Oryza sativa Japonica Group: one gene and its partners. The protein of the gene in region 1 binds, or shares a complex with, the protein of each later gene. Links are inferred from orthologs where the notes say so. Each region holds a gene or a part of one and is shown in the gene's direction. Other genes may lie near its edges.

The links. Proteins that work in one complex are often made in the same cells at the same time.
Region 2: THO complex subunit 2 (region 1) and THO complex subunit 1 share a complex: the UniProt entries of both Arabidopsis thaliana proteins name them as parts of the THO complex. The link is inferred for Oryza sativa Japonica Group from reciprocal best matches to the Arabidopsis thaliana genes THO2 and THO1.
Region 3: THO complex subunit 2 (region 1) and THO complex subunit 3 share a complex: the UniProt entries of both Arabidopsis thaliana proteins name them as parts of the THO complex. The link is inferred for Oryza sativa Japonica Group from reciprocal best matches to the Arabidopsis thaliana genes THO2 and TEX1.

Annotation. Positions count from the first base shown.
Region 1 is NC_089035.1:40,603,292-40,608,692, reverse strand, and holds part of THO complex subunit 2, read left to right. Parts: intron 1-105; coding exon 106-186; intron 187-651; coding exon 652-726; intron 727-816; coding exon 817-864; intron 865-963; coding exon 964-1,032; intron 1,033-1,178; coding exon 1,179-1,312; intron 1,313-1,915; coding exon 1,916-1,991; intron 1,992-2,709; coding exon 2,710-2,900; intron 2,901-3,040; coding exon 3,041-3,121; intron 3,122-3,273; coding exon 3,274-3,472; intron 3,473-3,936; coding exon 3,937-4,125; intron 4,126-4,206; coding exon 4,207-4,287; intron 4,288-4,379; coding exon 4,380-4,499; intron 4,500-5,401. UniProt on the Arabidopsis thaliana protein: Acts as a component of the THO subcomplex of the TREX complex which is thought to couple mRNA transcription, processing and nuclear export.
Region 2 is NC_089037.1:607,612-613,628, forward strand, and holds the start of THO complex subunit 1, read left to right. Parts: upstream 1-2,392; 5' UTR 2,393-2,567; coding exon 2,568-2,714; intron 2,715-2,855; coding exon 2,856-2,939; intron 2,940-3,078; coding exon 3,079-3,153; intron 3,154-3,471; coding exon 3,472-3,553; intron 3,554-3,657; coding exon 3,658-3,803; intron 3,804-3,916; coding exon 3,917-3,988; intron 3,989-4,344; coding exon 4,345-4,417; intron 4,418-4,512; coding exon 4,513-4,578; intron 4,579-4,724; coding exon 4,725-4,771; intron 4,772-4,895; coding exon 4,896-4,967; intron 4,968-5,073; coding exon 5,074-5,202; intron 5,203-5,285; coding exon 5,286-5,393; intron 5,394-5,902; coding exon 5,903-6,017. UniProt on the Arabidopsis thaliana protein: Acts as a component of the THO subcomplex of the TREX complex which is thought to couple mRNA transcription, processing and nuclear export. Contributes to the integrity of the endogenous trans-acting small interfering RNA (ta-siRNA) pathway.
Region 3 is NC_089043.1:11,600,088-11,606,038, forward strand, and holds the start of THO complex subunit 3, read left to right. Parts: upstream 1-2,326; 5' UTR 2,327-2,503; coding exon 2,504-2,614; intron 2,615-3,267; coding exon 3,268-3,363; intron 3,364-3,883; coding exon 3,884-4,013; intron 4,014-4,378; coding exon 4,379-4,467; intron 4,468-5,005; coding exon 5,006-5,074; intron 5,075-5,470; coding exon 5,471-5,528; intron 5,529-5,615; coding exon 5,616-5,727; intron 5,728-5,951. UniProt on the Arabidopsis thaliana protein: Acts as a component of the THO subcomplex of the TREX complex which is thought to couple mRNA transcription, processing and nuclear export. Contributes to the integrity of the endogenous trans-acting small interfering RNA (ta-siRNA) pathway.

The DNA of each region.
Region 1 (5,401 bases):
TGGTTCATGAACACTACTCTCCTCCTAAATTTTGTGTCAACTTTTTTTACTTTTTTTTCTTTATCTATTCATTTACTATATGTCTGCTTCAATTATTGGTTATAGGTCAGGGTCAACACACGTCTCCTTTATCAGCAAACTAAATTCAACCTTTTAAGAGAGGAAAGTGAGGGCTACGCCAAATTGGTACGTATTTCTATCCGCCAAACCTCTTATGTTTGTTCTTATGATGAACTGAGTATTTTCTTAGGAAACTTCAGAAATCAGAACCACTATATTTTCTGCACGCTGTTTGAAAGGAGTAACAGAATCTAGAAAACTGTGTTTGGTGTGTGTCCAGTTTCTACACTCCCTTAAACGACCTAATTATTGTTTGACCTTAGTTATACAGGTTATAGTTCATGAGGTATCTACAAATAAATTAGTTTGTTTTGATGTTCAATTTGTAACTGATCTAAAACAGTCTAGTTGGATCAGAAAATAGTGGATAGCACAGTATCCCTATTCTTTTGCAGCAATTTTTTTGACACATGTTCCACTAGAAGGCACACCTGGATTTTTTTTGACACATCTTCAGTTAATTTCTGTGATGATTTACTGAAGTTCCGTTGTTTTTAACCTTCTTATCATATTTGCTTCTGGATTGTTCAGGTAACCCTCCTTTGTCAAATTGGTTCAGATTTGGCTTGTCAAAATTCTTCTTCAGTTACTATGAGCATTATAAAGGTGTGCTCTAGAATATTCCTTTCTTCCTCCTGTACTGTTATTTAAGCATTTGAGCATCTTTGTGATATAACATTATGTTTTTTATGGCAGTCATTGATTGGGCATTTTGACCTGGACCCAAATCGTGTGTTTGATATTGTGAGTTTTGATTTGCTGTCCACTTTTTTGTTATGCATTGTACTGTGTGAAAGCGTGTTACCGAAAGCATGTAGTGATGTTATTCTTGTATTCTGCTAGGTTCTGGAATGTTTTGAGCTCTATCCGGATAATACCATCTTTTGTCAGCTTATACCTCTTTTCCCTAAGGTATTCCTTTATCATACTTCATAGAGTATACTTCATACTTCATATGGTTATATTCCTTTTAATATAATAATGTAAACCTCCTCTAAAGATTATTAGCATACTTCATACAATATTTCAGCCTATTTTACTACTTCCTTTTATTGCAGTCCCATGCTGCTCAAATATTGGGGTTCAAGTTCCAATATTACCAACGATTGGATGTCAATAGCACTGTTCCACCTGGGCTTTTCCGGATAGCAGCTTTGTTGGTCAAATCTGGTTTTATTGACCTTGATAGCCTGTAAGTTTACTAAATCTCCTTGACTTCCTGATGGTTACAGTGATGTTAGACATCACCCAAAACAAAATCTGCAATTTGTATTCTTTATAAAAATATCTACTATGCTTTAAGCACACTTTTTTTTTTTAAAAAAACACATACATCCTCTAATAAGGTTTATGTCCATGTAAATTAATGTATGCATGTAATTAATGCCTTCGTATTGGGATTTACTCTCCAACTTTGGACTCTACTTTTTCTTCAGTGTTAACTCTTTACATTGGCTCCTGTTCTTTAATAACAAGAATTTTTTTAATTTCCTCTGATTCTGTGTGGCACTCTACCATTATCGATTTTGCTCAAAATGTATTAGTACAGCTACTGGTGTGTTAAAGGTTACACTGATTATGGTTTCAAGTTATCAATTTATCATTATGATTGCTCATAATGTATTAGTGCGGCTACTGGTGCAATCATGGTTTCTAGTTATGGATTGTTTTTACGTTCCTGATTCCTACTACACTATATGAGCATGACTTTTTTTTGCCACAATATATCTACTTGGGAATGGCCTTTCAACTCCAACTCTCATGAGTCATGACTTATATCTGAATTGTATTGCAGCTATGCTCATTTACTTCCAAATGATGATGAGGCATTTGAGCATTTTGACTCCTTCGTCACGAGGAAAATCGATGAGGTTAATATTCATTTTGTCCTCCTGAAGTTCATGTTTTTGGAAATATTTGCTATATCCAGGCATTGTGAAAGAGAGTTGTATGTATGCCATCTCATTACAGATTTAAACTTGAAATGATAAAAGTACAAATTCAATTGATAGTGCGACACCAAGCCCCCCCTCCCCTTCTTTTTATTTTGCAATTTTGCTATGTAACAAAATGAAATCCCACTGTTTTAAAAGAGGAAGAAAGACAATGTTGTAAATCATGATTCTGTATATGCAGGAAATAACACCATGATAATGCATAACCTTTGGGATTAGGATAAAAAAACGATCTGGGGATATAGGGATTAGAGGATATATGCAAAATGAATGTGTGGGGAATAAAATCGAAAGTAACATTTTGGATTGACAGATATGTAGATGTTGGCTTTATTGTGGTGTATGGGTATTTATCTTTAAATATAGGTACCTTCTGTTAACAAGATGTAACCCTTACGTAGCAAAACAACTTTGGTTGTGGAATGGCGGAACTTTATTTTTTTGTAGCTGAAAAATTTCAAGTTGAGCATGCAAATTTGTTCATACATTCCGGTGAAGTCATTTCAGAATCTATCAGGTTAAATGGTTCTGTAATTGAAAATAATCAGGATTTGTTTGTTTGTACTTCAGCACTTTAATGGTTGTGGTGTATTTTGCAATTTCTGGAACTTAGCCCTCTCTTTCTTAATTCCAGGCTAGTAATATAGGCAAAATAAATCTTGCTGCCACTGGGAAGGACCTTATGGATGACGAGAAGCAAGAAATAACTATTGATTTGTACACAGCATTGGAGATGGAAAATGATATAATTGATGAGCGAGCCCCTGAGATTGAAAAGAACCAGAAACTTGGACTTCTTCTTGGTTTCCTGTCAGTTCATGATTGGTAATGTTCATGTGTTCCATCAATTTATTTTGTCTGCTTGCTATTTGGTTAAATATATAATTGCATTTAGCAGTTAATACATCTATCCTTTTTTGTACTTATTATACTTTTGGTAACTGAATTCTACCATTGTTTGGCAGGGATCATGCACAACTCCTCTTTGAGCGTCTTGCACGCCTAAATCCTGTTGAGCATGTTGAAATTTGTGATAGTTTATTTAGGTTTGTCAACTTTCTCTGCATATGCAAGCATCCTCAACATTACTTGTAGTTCTCTGCAAACAGGGCATATGATGGTGCTTGATACATATGCCCTTGTATTACAACACATTCCCTGGTTAATATTATTCAATTTTGTTTTTTTGTTCATGCAGACTTATTGAAAGGAGTATTTCTTCAGTCTATGATATAATTTTCCAAACACATTATAAGATGCCTCGTAACCCTGTTTATATGATGGACACATCACCTTCCTCTTCACAAAGTTTTTCGGTTGATCCGCCGAAAGAGTTTTTCCAAATGCTTTCTGCTTGTGGACCATACCTTCATCGTAACACACAATTATTTCAGAAGGTAGTGTTGTTTATTTTCTCTGCTAATATTCTCATAGCAGTTCATGCTTGAACATGACATGCTTCCGGCTTCTGTTTTTGACTGGAGATTTTCTCTAATACCCCTATCACATGTATTATTTGTCTTGTGTTGTTAAAATTTGTGTAAACTAGTTATCATGAGTTCTTTTATCCAATCAATGGTTTTATGGTTGCCATGAGGCTTGTGACCAGATTTTTGTTTTCTGGCTTGCATTGTTGTAATAATTCAATAAGTAAAAAACACCGTTCTTGTTGCTTAACTACTACAGATAATTTATAATGTCTTGTAGCTTATAGTGCAAATGGGTTCTATTGACAAGTTGTTGCATATTCAAACGAACTATCCTATTATTAAATGTTTCCATTATGCAGTATCACCTGGAGTATCTATTAACAAGTTGTTGCATGTTTTACCTAATGTAGCATTCTCCATGTTAACTACAGGTTTGCAGAGTACTTAAAGCGTACCATCTGTCAGCAAAAGAGTCAATCCGTACAGCAGGTGTAATGTCTCCAGACTCGCGAATTGAAGAAGCACTTGGATCGTGCTTGCTACCATCATTGCAGCTTATACCTGCAAATCCTGCTGTTGATATGGAGATATGGGGAGTTCTTTCTCTTCTTCCTTATGAGGTTCGTAGTATTGTTCATAGTTTGTTTATTTGCCCAATTCATTTGTAAACAATGTTTTACAATTGTGCCACTCATTTTTAGACCCGTTATCGCTTATATGGTGAATGGGAGAAGGATACCGAACAAAACCCAATTGTCCTTGCTGCAAGGCAAACTGCAAAGGTTGATTATTTATTCCATGACTGAGTTTTCTTATGTTTCCCCTATAATTTTATCTTCAGCTGTCAATTAACTGTCCTTATTTTTTTGATTAGTTGGATACCAGAAGGCTCTTAAAGCGGCTTGCTAAGGAAAATCTGAAGCAACTTGGCCGCATGGTGGCTAAACTTGCCCATGCAAATCCAATGACAGTACTTCGGACAATTATCCAACAGGTATCTTGAATGAACAAGTGCATATAGTTGCTACTCCCTCCATTTCATATTATAAGTAGCTTTGTCTTTTTTTCTGGTCAAACTTAAAGTAGTGAAACAAAACATATTACCAAAATATATTCAATGTTAGGTTTAATGAAACTGATTTGGTGTTTTAGATGTTGCTAAATTTTTCTATAAACTTGGTCAAACTTAAAAAAGTTTAACTAGGAAAAAGTCAAAGTGACTTATAATATGAATCGGGGGGAGTACTTGGGATAAAGTTATTCAAAATATGTATATAACATTGCAGTTAAACACAATGTTTTTCTTTGGAAACATGAGATGTAACTACTTCCATTAGACCGGCGACTGTTGTTATTTACTTATTTTAGTAAATGATTTATTCCTCCTTGTTCCTTTTTTACTTCTCTGGTTTGGAGCTAGCTGATCCATGCCACATCTTCTTACAGCTTAATCCTAACTGCATTTATCCCCACAATTTTTTTTACACCAACAACCTGTGATTAGCAAATGCAAACTTCTAGCATTGGCACCCTTCACTAGCTCGTTGTGCATTAGATGCTCTTACTTTGACAATTGCCCTCTTAGCAGTGACATTTCTAGGTGTATGATAATCTCATACTGTTGGTATGCACTGGACCCCTCAAATAATTCCCTTCCAGAGGGGGACATTTTGAACTCTTTCATGTTAGTCTCTGTGAATTAGCACAATCATTATTGATTGTAAGTTTGTAACTATGCCACCAAACTTTTTTAGGAGTTAATTTTTCCAAAGGAACAGAGATCTTTTTATTGGGTTAATCTATATCTAGTGATTTTGGAAGTTCACCTTACGGTGTTCTTTTCTCCCCTTTCCTAGCTTCTACTCAATCGTTTTCTGCGCGCATGCTTCCCAAACT
Region 2 (6,017 bases), on another chromosome or scaffold:
TCTTTATCTAAAGGATGCTAGGCGCAGTTTCTTTGGGTTCAGAGATTCGATATGGCACTAAATTGAGTTGTTTTCTTCATTCATTTGGTTACCATTTGTGTAGAGTTTAACGTACCAGTAGTATTTTTGGTAGGAAGTTACTGGAATGATGTTTGCTGGCCAGTAGTTTCATGGCTTAAAATAAACCTTATGACAGCATATGCGGCACCTAAATGCTTGTTATCTTAAGATAAATTTGAAGCTAACATGGTGTAGGATACTTCTGAACTATTTATCCTTCAGTGGCCATTCAGATACTAGCATATCATGGCGGATGTATTTTTGGGAATACGCAAGGAGTGCATTTTTGTATTAAGAGAAATAAAGAGTTATTTACAAAACCCAAACGCAGCAGGGGACCGAGACAGGAATCAAAACAACCAAAAAGCTACTTAATCCAGAATGCCATCGGCCTTTTCTCCTATGATGAAGGCTTTAAATCTCTACACTTCTCCATGGCTTTGTACATGTGTAACCAACAGCCAATGTGCCAAACACTAGTTTGGAAACTGACTTCTGTCACTTGTTCTTGGTTTTGTTTTTTCCCCTTACACCTCTACCTATCATGGATGCTTTTGCTCAGAATGTTGGAGATTGTAGTGTGTGTACTCTTGAACTGCTCTAATAATTTTGGTTTACTCCTAATAACTCAATTCCAGTTCATTGGCTTTACTGCATTGCATCAGTATGCCATGTGGTTGATGGTTTGGTTTTCATACTGTCAAACCTCCCTCAGAGATCTAAATTAATTGCATGTCCTGCATTTACCCTACTTTATGTTTGTTCCAATGATTTAGGAGCTTTAGCGCAGTGTACCTTGCATTTTGTAAACACTTTAGGTAAACCTTTTGTGGTTTGGTTGTATAATGATCAGATGGTTTCCCAGTTGTTGTAGTATTTGTTGGCTTATGCTGTTCCCAATTCTCTCTGTCGGCATATGAAGTCGCTGGTTTGAGTATGAACGGAGCATAAGTTTAATCAATCCATGTTATTGATACATGCCCTTTGGTTGTACACTTGTACTATGATGTTTAGCGCACAAACCAGATTGTGCCGCTGTTGCAAAAAATTGTATCTGCAGATTTTGTGACGAAATACGTAGTAGTTTGAAACAATGTTAGTATTGCACATCTTTGGTCTTCTGTGAGACTGACCTGACCATTTTGTCTGCACTGCTAGTTCTTGAATCCATAATCACGACACATGAACTAGCTACTCGAGGCTTCAGACTTGGACATTATTGGATGAGAGTATGAATAATAATGTCATGGCGAAAAAAGAAAATTGTTGATCTCGTCGTCGCTTGCATTAGTATACTGATTGCAAAGAAACTTCCACGGGAGAAGTCCGGTCAAGACGTAGATTTCTCCGCGAATCTCTCCTCCATCATCAAGTTCTTTATCCCCTCTTCTAGAGGAGGAGGATGTGGCCGCGGTGACAGCAAGAACACGCATGGTGTGGATGTGCTGGGCTACATCGTTGACGTCTGATAGAAATAAGTTCATTTAAGGTCCTTAATTTGTCGTCGAGTTTAAGGGCTCGTTCAGATTGATGTCTTTTCAAACTATACTTTTTTTTTTGGTAGAGTTGTTAAATATGTGCATCCATTTAGATTCTTGCCAAACTTTAGTAAATGCATAAGAAATCCTGCCAAAATTTTGACAATATTACCAAATTGCCAAAAATTAGTAAGGTTTATTTCGGCTACAATCTGAATAGCCCCTAAAAGGCTAAAACTCGTCGCTGTCCGGGATGGCCGGGGAGCTTCTTGGGCGGGAGGAGGCGCTCAAGCATTCTGCGAGGACCGGGATGGAGACGAACAAGAGCACCGACAGCACGAGCGGTGCGGCGATGAGGATTGGATCTCGGTACTCCTGGAGAACAGGGAAGAGAGACAAAGAGTTGTCGCTATTGTGTGAGGTCCACGTGAGTCCTACTTCCCACATCAGTTAAAACTTAAAATTAGCCACCATACTATCGTGGGACCAAAGTTGATACGGTATTGTGAGTTGAAGGATGAGCTGTAGCGTTGGTATTTCGGTTCGGGACGAATTCAAGGCATGTTTGGGGAAGTTTATGGCAACTGGAGATTTTTTTAAAAGCTCTCACAAACAGTCTAAATTTTCACTCAGATTTTAAGAAGATATAGTTGTAAAATCTAAAAATGAACTAGAAGATAGAAGAAGCTTATCTAGATTATCACCGGCTAGCTTCTCCAACCCCAACCAAAGTGTTATCCTCGTGGCAAATTACGGGATCTAATGCGAACTTATTCCCGTCTGATATAGATCGGCCCAATAACAACCCAAAATCCCAGTAATTCCTAAACGCGGCCCACAAGACAGCATCCCCTACCCCACCTTCTTCCCCGATCCCCTAGGAGGCTTCAACCCCGCATCCGCCGTCGCCTGCGCGCCGCCGGAGGCCGGAGCCCGCCGCCGTGGGATACTAGTCCAGCTTGGAAGCGGGGAGGGAGAGGCTCCAGCCAGTGTGCCGAAACCTACCCTTCCATTCTGACCCACCACGCCATGGCGGAGCCCACGCCGCCGCTGCCGTCGAACGCCGGGCTCCGCATCCTCCTCAGCAAGGACCGGCCACCGGCCTCCTCTTCCTCCGCGCTCGCCGCCGCCACCTCCGCCGCCGTCTCCAGCCACACCGACCGCGACCGCATCATCGTGAGTTGTCCACTCTCCTATCTAGTATGCCCCCGGGGGTGCCAGTGTGGGAGGATGTCATGAACCGAGGGTTTTCTGTCAATTTGCGCGGAATTATTTCTGTGTTGTGCAGTAGATTTGAGAAATCTCGTTTGTTCACAGGGAGTGTTCCGGGATGCGCTGTCTAGGACTGAATCCCCTGAAGCTTTTGCCCTTCAGGCCGTTCAGGATGCGATTAAACCTCAGGTACACAATGCACCACAGTCAGCCATGCTTGTAGGCTTGTAGCTTTCTCATAGATGATGGATTACTGTACTTGATGTTCCTTGCGTTGTCTTGTGCATACACACGTTTTTAAGTTAGTTGCTCATCTGATTTTTTGCAGAAGCAAACAGTGTTGGTTCTGGAGGAGAACCAATCCTTAGAAAATGCTCTACGCAAATTGCTGCAGGAACTTGCAGTAAGCTTCCTTACCACGCATGTGCCTGCACTAGTCTTTGTTCTCTGTAACAACACTATTACAAAGTAATGTGGTAGTAGATGATTTTTTTTTTGGGGTCACTGTCTCACATTTACAAGTTAGCGTAATGCAACTTCTCCTTTCTCCATACATTTCATTAAGTTTCTATCTTCTGTTTAATAACCGTCTGCAAGTATTTACCATGTACCTGAACGATAGGTAGTTCTATTGTTCAAATTGTGCAATCCTTACTTGCCTGTCATGCAGCCCTATAGATTAATGCTTGTTGCTGATTTCGTTTCATATCTATATTTGTAGTCATCTGCAGTTCAATCTGGTAAAAGAATAATGCAATATGGGGATAATGAAGAAAATAATTGCCCGATAACACGTCTTCTTGGTTAGTTGGAACCTTTTTACTGCTCCTTTCTCACATTGGTTCCTGAGCACTATTTAGAGATTTATCTGTTTTCTCTTGAGAGATCTTCTTTTTTTTCATGTTAGATATCGTGCTTTACCTTTGTGAAAGAGGGCATGTTGAGGGAGGTATGGTATTCCAGCTGTTAGAAGATCTGACAGAAATGTCAACTATCAAAGACTGCAAAGATGTATTTGGATATATTGAGAGCAAACAAGATGTCTTGGGGAAGGTAATTGAGAATTTGTCTTTTGTACTACATTTTGTTAAATTGGTGCTTGTAAGGCACATATGATGTATGCAGTTGCTTTGCTAATGGGGATTACCTCATTGAGTTGTTTGTAGCAAGAGCTTTTCGGGCGTGGCAAGCTTGTTATGCTAAGGACTTGCAACCAACTACTTCGAAGATTATCAAAGGTTAGATTCATCTGTTTTCTTATGCATACTCTGCTATCTACTTTGTCGTAGTCCGAATGTCTGTAGATTGAAATCATTCTGTGCTTTCCTTATTTTCTGTGCTGAGCAGTTTTATCAAGTACTAAGCTGACTGCTGTGCTCACTGTTCAGTAAGATCTTTGGTAATGACAAATTTACTGTAAAAATACCAAGCTATTGGACATATCATAAAAATCGTATTGTACATTGCGATGTTGTGGTCCTTTTGCTTTAGTGAGTATTGAACAAATATATTCTTTACATTTCTCGGAGTTTTGACAGCCTATAAGGTTGTGTTCTGTACTAGCATTGATACCCTTTGTTCTGAAATACCACAGGCAAATGATGTGGTATTCTGCGGACGTATTATCATGTTTCTAGCACATTTCTTCCCATTATCGGAACGTTCAGGTTTGCATATTTTGCATCTCTCTGTCCCCTCCTAGACAGCCCCTTATTGGCAAGGAGTGCATAACTACATTTTCCTTGTTTTTCTATTTTATCAGCTCTCAATATCAAGGGGGTTTTTAACACATCAAATGAAACAAAGTACGAGAAAGACGCTACAGATGGTGAGTATGACTATCCTGATAAAAAAAATATTTATTATTTTTTTGTTGTGTGTTTTTCGTGTGACTTTATTCAATTTTTTATTTCTTCAGTCAACTGTTCTCGTAAAAGGATAGAACTCCCTAATGTAAGCCTTTTTTTTTCTCAGGAATTTCTGTTGATTTCAACTTCTACAATACCCTATGGAGTCTGCAGGTGGCTGCTTTGTACCCTGTCATTCTGTGGGATTCAAAAATCATAATTGATTCCTGACACGCTTCTTAACTTTTAAACATTATATTGTTTCTCATGCTCATTTGTCTTTTTATTTATGTTCCAGGAGCATTTTAGTAACCCTGCTTTAACTGCTGCAAATCTGACAAGATGGCAAAAGTTTGTGTCCAATTTAACGGTACATCCTTTTGCGCATTTTTACAATTACATGAACCTTTTTCTTTCCCAATGCAAAATGTTAATTCTGAACTTCTCGTTGATGTTTACTGTTAATGAAAGTGCAGGTTGTGCTAAGCACATTTGAAGCTCAGCCTCTCAGTGACGATGATGGAAAACTTAACAATCTTGACCAAGAGGAAGATGCTGCTTTCAATATTAAGTACCTGACAAGTAGTAAATTGATGGGTTTGGAGGTAAGAACTTTTTGATCAGCTGATACTAACTTTTTATTATTGTTCACTGTTCATAGACTCATATGGCAATTGCTTCTTTGCAGTTGAAGGACCCAAGTTTTCGACGCCACATCCTTGTCCAGTGCCTCATATTCTTCGACTTTCTCAAGGCACCTGGAAAGACTGACAAAGAAGGTCCAACTGGGAGCATGGTTAGTCCACTAAATGACTTCTCTGATTGTTTTCCATGGACAGTTGAACTTAGACTTGAGCATCTGAAATTGTGCTGTTACCAAATTTTTAGTATTCACCTATTACTACATGATTGCTCTTGAGTTTGTGATAGTCACAACAGCAAATGTGGCAAAGCTAGCATTAGTTCTCATGAAACCATCAGCTCCTTTTTCTGTGCATGCTATGTGAGATCGTAAGTAGTCTGTGATAGCTATTCCCATTTTAGTTGAACCGATTATTATCACTTATTAGCATACTTCTCACAGCGTGTGCTACTGGGCATGTAAGTATTAACAAACACTGATTGCACAAATTGTCCAAACCGTATGAAGTTGCTTGGCAGTGCTAGTTTTTAGTATAACAGTGCCAACTAATACCAACTGCCTGCCTGATACAACTGGGTTATAGTGGCTAGTACAGACAATGAATCAGGATTAAGGAAATGCCACTCTGTACTCTGTATTAACTTTATGCTCTCTACAATCAGAAAGAGGAAATCGATTCTTGTGAAGAGCGTGTTAAGAAACTTCTGGAGATAATTCCACCAAAAGGGAAGGACTTCCTACAAAGCATCGAGCATATTCTTGAGCGGGAGAAAAATT
Region 3 (5,951 bases), on another chromosome or scaffold:
GCTAAGTGTTGTGATGCCATGATGATTATTGTTTCAAAAGCCAATTGAATTAGTATTCATCTAGACATATTAGTTGAATGTTATAATTTTTCATATATCTAGAGAGAAGGAATTTTGGTCCAATAATTTGATACACCAAGCATTTGGCTATTATGTGAAGAAAAATTATATACTAAAGGCCGATGCTTGATTTCAAAAGTTTGGACGAAATTGGCAAAGTCATAGACCTAGGATGGTCTAACCGGCATTGCACGGCCGGTCTGACCGGCTCTACATGGCCGGTCTGACCGGACAGACAGGGTGGTCTGACCGGCATTGCGTGGCCGGTCTGACCGATAGCGGGCCGAGAGCTGGGGGGCACGTTACAATTGATTAAAAGGCCGAATTAATTGTGAATTCGGACATTTGTGCCCATGAGTTAGAAATAGCTTGGAGAATTCCTTCGATTAGATATTTGAAGATCCTACACTTAAGGTTGATCAGAAGATTCGGCGGCAAGCGCTCAAATATTATATCGCCGAAAAATAGATGGAGTATTACTTAGATAATGATCAGTTTAAAGTTGCTAGGAGAGTAGTACATGAAGGGATTTGTGAAATTCATCAATCGGCCCGTAAGATAAATTGGTTGCTTAGGAGAGTGTGGTTTCATTGGCCGAAAATAATTGATGATTGTTTCAAATGTTATAGAGGGAGTGAAGCTTGTTAACGGATCGGCAATGTTCAATTAGCGCCTACCGCTGTGTTGAATCCTATCATTAAAGTATGGCCGTTCTGAGGTTGAGCTTTGGATTTCATTGGTCAAATTTATCCTTCGTCATCAAAAGGGCGTTGGTTCGTGCTAGTTGCAATGGATTACTTCACTAAGTGGGCCGAAGCCGTGCCGCTCGAGAATATTACTTGTACGGAGTGAGAAGTTTTGCCGAATCTTATGCTATTAAGTTGATGAGTTCTTCTCTTTACTACGCTCAGGCTAATGGATAAGCCGAGTTGAGTAATAAAACATTGTTGAAATTGTCGTTTTGCCAGTTGGGGTAAATCTTGGCTCTCTTCGGTATTTCAAGCAAGACGACTTGTCGGTTGAAGATTACAAGACCTTGATGGGAAACAATTTTAAAGACGTCATCGACAAGCGTTTAAAGACTTTGAAGGAGATGAAGACACTTCAAGACGGTGTTTTCAGAGAGCAATTAATGGGAAATACTTGAAGAAATATTTCCCGAGCATTTGGCAAGATGCTTAGGAAGTCCTATGGGCGGTAATTGGATTATCACCCTGACATAACATGTTCTATGCTTTTAGGTTCACGTATGTTTACAAAAAAGGCAGGGGGGCATGTGTTTACACCCAAATTTGGCACCTATGGACGAAATAGAGGAAAATTGCCAAAGTTTGGAAAGTGACGGGTTTCCTTCACAGGGCCGGTTAGACCACAGGTGTGTGGGCGGTCTGACCGTCTAGTAGGGCCGGTCTGACCGCAGGTATGTGGGCGGTCAAACCGTCAGGGTCCGAGTCCGAGTTTGTTTTCGTCGGGTCTCGGGTTTCCTTGCCTGGGAAGGTAGGTTTCGTGTTTCCTTTGGTTTCTATCCCGAGTTGGATATGGAGAAGGGCCTGTAGAGGGTAAGACCAACCCCTATTTAAGGGACAAGGCCGGTTCATTGTAAAACCCCCGAATACAATTTACTTGAATCGTTCTTTTACCATGTTTTCTATTTTACCCTAGTTTTAATCCATCTTTGTCGGTTTGCGCCGTAAACCGTCCGCCGCCGCTGCGAGAGTGCGACACCTCTTTGTAGATTTGTCCTGAAAACCTTCCGTATTGCCTATGAGACAGGTTAGTTATCCTCATATCGATCTAAATCGGCTTAGAGGCTGATTTTTGATCTCTAAATCGGCTCCGCTAGCCGGTTTAGCTGTTTTTCTACAAAACCCATCTTGATTTGGCCGTTTGGCTAGATCGAGGTGGTTGGCGACTCCATATCACCGCAAGGCGTTTAGGTGCTGCGATCGTAATTGTCGACTTGTCACAAAAAGTTGCCAACAGCCGCAGCGGCTGTCCCCTCCAAAGAGGTGGTGGAGAGAGATGAGAAAAAAAAAGAGGGGAAAGATGAATCTAAGAAGACGAAGATGGATGGAAAATATTACTATAGTGGCATGGTTCTAATTTTATAAAATTTCAATGTCACAATTAAAAAAGACGAATTGTAATAACATTTATCGGTATATTTACAATGGCATGGATTCAATTAAACAAAAACCAAAGGATGTGTCCATGGCTCCATGGTAAGGATAACGCATGAACTTGTGGCATGAATAAACAAAAAAGTAGAAGGACGTTTCTGCGAAAACCCTCTCCTCTTCCCCGCCGACGCCGTCCCCGGCTCTCCCTCCTCCGTCTCGCGCCCGCCGCCGCCGCCACCGCCACCGCCGCCGCCGCCTTGCGCCTCGTGACGCGGTGAGTGGGGAATAGCAAAACCAGACCCGTGCCCCAGTCCGCGGGGACAATGGAGGGGAAAGAAGACGACAGACGGCGGGGCGGCGGTGGCGGAAGCTCGACGCCGGGGATGAACCTGAAGAACCTGGTGTCGAGGGAGTATTTCGGCCACAAGAAGAAGGTAACCTTTTCGATTCCCCCCTCACCAATCCTACGCGGGGATAAGTTTTTTTCTCATGAGGTCCTAAACCCTCAAAAGTCCTGCGAGGGGGAAGCCCTAAAATCCGGATGTTACAAGCAAAAATTAGGACGAAAATGCATCCATCTTTGGTTCACACGTACGGTTTTGTTTCTAATTCTAGAGCAGGATATAGTGATTGATTCCTCGCGTTCATGCCGTATATATGCTGATTCTTTTGCTCTAGGGCTAAGCCATGTTGAGATTGAATGAAGCTTTGGTTGGTTGCTTTCCTTCTGGGAGCTGGTGAATGAGCGCATTGTCAAATATGATTCCTGGTCATAATTACTCCTAATTTTTGAAGGAATTTGGTTTCACGAAAAGGGACTTCTTGTCTGACTTTGTAAAGTTGCTACTCCTCTGAGGGGAAGAATTCAAAGGGAAAAAAAAATCTTACTTGCAGAAAGAATCATAGTACAACGATATTTCTCTGTTTCTTTCTTGAATTCTGTTTCTTGTTTTTCTAAATAATCCTTCCACACATGGAGGTGCAGCATTTAACTGGTTCTGTCGCTTTTTGCCTTCTTTTTTATCTATCTTACATACATAATCAGCCTTAAATTTTGTATAATTCTGATCTTTTGTTTTACTGTTAGGTGCACTCTGTAGCATGGAACTGCCTAGGCATGAAGCTTGCTTCAGGCTCTATTGATCATACTGCACGTGTATGGAGTATCGATCCCCATGGCCATGTAAACATTCTCTCCTTTCCTGATTGCAAACAAAATAACCTTCATTGTTATTATGGAATTATTAGATAAACGCATTTATTGTCATTCACTATGAATAACTGTCACCCTTTTTTTATGAACATTTCTATAAATTTGAAAGATAAGCATGATGATTAATTGGAAATATCTCCCGCTGTATAATTTAAAATTATAGAAACTCAGACAGTAATCACACTTAAGCATACCATAGCCTGTGTCTCTGAGACATATGTTTGAGCTATTTAATGTGAAATTGTGAATGATTTCTTAGCTAGGGGTTCTTTTGGATCCCTCAGTTGTACTTATTTCTTCTTCTTAATGAAAGGAAGCGCAGCCCTCCTGCGGTTTTGAGGAAAATAAATTCTAAGCTAAATTATATTGTTTTGAGAACACTAAGACATTTTTGGTTGGAACGTAGGAGGGGAAAAAACCCCAGATGGTTTCTATTTCCCTGGAAGTACCAAGTCAGTACTGTGCTGATTAGGGTTTTTATATTGCACAGTCCAAGGTTAAAGACATTGAATTGAAAGGCCACACAGATTGTGTAGATCAGCTCTGCTGGGATCCGAAGCATCCTGATACAGTTGCTACAGCAGCTGCTGACAAGTCAATTCGCCTCTGGGATGCACGGAGTAAGTGGTTCCCTTCATCTTTGAAGGTTAAAGAACTAAGATATCCACAGTTGTGTTCAGCATTCTCAGCTTCTCTCTGAAATTGATGAATCCCTTTTTGTCACTTTGTTCAATCCCTATGTTCCATTTACAATGAACTTGTTGTTACCAGACAAGATGTCTTATTCTTTTGTGTAGTGACTCTACCTGAAAGTTAGTTTCAGAATTTTTTTAGTTGTACTTCGATTTTTTTCATAGGATTGTACATCATACTTTTGATTCTCTATTTATAACTCTACAAGATTTGGGCCTGCAGTTTGCCTTTTAAAATTATATTATTTATTTGACCCGCTATTTCTCAAACTGTTTGACGTGTTCTTTTCCAGGTGGAAAATGTCAAGTCGTCGAACTTAGTGGAGAAAACATCAATATCACTTATAAACATGGTGGTACTCAAATAGCTGTTGGAAACAAGGTATGTATTGCCTAGGCTGTTATCCCTGTTAACTTCAAGAACGGTAGTCATTTATGACTAAGGAACTGGTTTTGATTTGCATATATCATGCCAGAAGAGGGTTACAATATTTTGAAAGGAATTTATAAAATTCTTTCCAAAGAGAAATGTGTAACTATAATCTGATTTATATTAGATTGAGTGATGAGTTATTTGGCAAATTAGCATCTAAATTGCAATGTTCATTCTTGTGTTTGACATGCTCTCTGTATAAGTATCAATACAACATAGCTCAGTATGGACACACTTGAATATATACATATTGATCCTAAATTAGATGGAATTATTTACTTTTTTTGCTATGCAAAGTTAGTAAAGTGTTATTGAGCATGGGGACTGGGGAGTGGTGTGTAAATTTTATAATAATTGTAGTAAACCTATTTTTATAAAGTTTACAAGTTAGTTCGCAAGGTCCCGCGTACACCAATGTGTTTACTTTGTGAGTTCTAGTTTTATAAAATTGTACAAGTGTAGTAACAGCTGTCACTATGATTTGCAGGAGGATGAGTTGACAATAGTGGATGTTCGGAAGCTAAAAGCCCTTCACAAATTTAAGTTTAATTATGAGGTACTTTCCACTTGAAGGTTTGAATTGTTGAAACATTCTTCTAGCAATTTTCTTCTTCCTTTTGGAATCTTTCGCTGCTCTGAATGAACATGCACATATAGTCATATACCTTTTGAGAAAAAGTAGAGTGGGCATAAGTCGGCAGCATGTGCATCTTTGTCTGGAACAGGAAAATTGCCTGCTGGTATTTGAATTAGTACTGACTACTGAGTGTGAATTACCTAACTATTCGATGTACTTTAATTTCATTTGCTGCATTACTTATGTTGCAGTTTTGTAAATTTTCTATTTCAACTAGCTAAATGCCCGTACACCTGCTACTGATAAAAATGAATCATATAGCTCCTCAGATCAGTTAACTTTTCTGAAGTAAATTATTGATTTGTTGTTCCTCAGATAAATGAGATTGCATGGAACAAAACTGGAGATTTATTCTTCATCACTACTGGACTTGGTAAGATACAAAACCCATATGTTGTTTTAAGTTTCAATATCACACCAGTTGGTATCAGTGTAATTACATTGTTTGCTGTTTATGTAGGAAATGTTGAGGTATTTGGTGATCCTTCCCTTGATGACACCCTTCATGTGGTTGGCAAATTGAATGCTCATACAGCGGGTTGTTATTGCATTGGAATGGATCCCCTTGATAGGTGATGATTTTTTCTGTCTTCGCTCATTTGTTCAACATCAACTCACATCTCAGCCAATGACATTTCATTGTAACTACATTATCTTTTGAACTTTATGCTATAATCATTAGGTTCTCTATATGCTGTTTGACTTCGCTTTGAACTCTAATTCTCTTAATGCCTTATACTGATGCTAGTTGTTTTATGTAGTTAACGATTTTTTTTATTTCAAGGTAATATAAAGC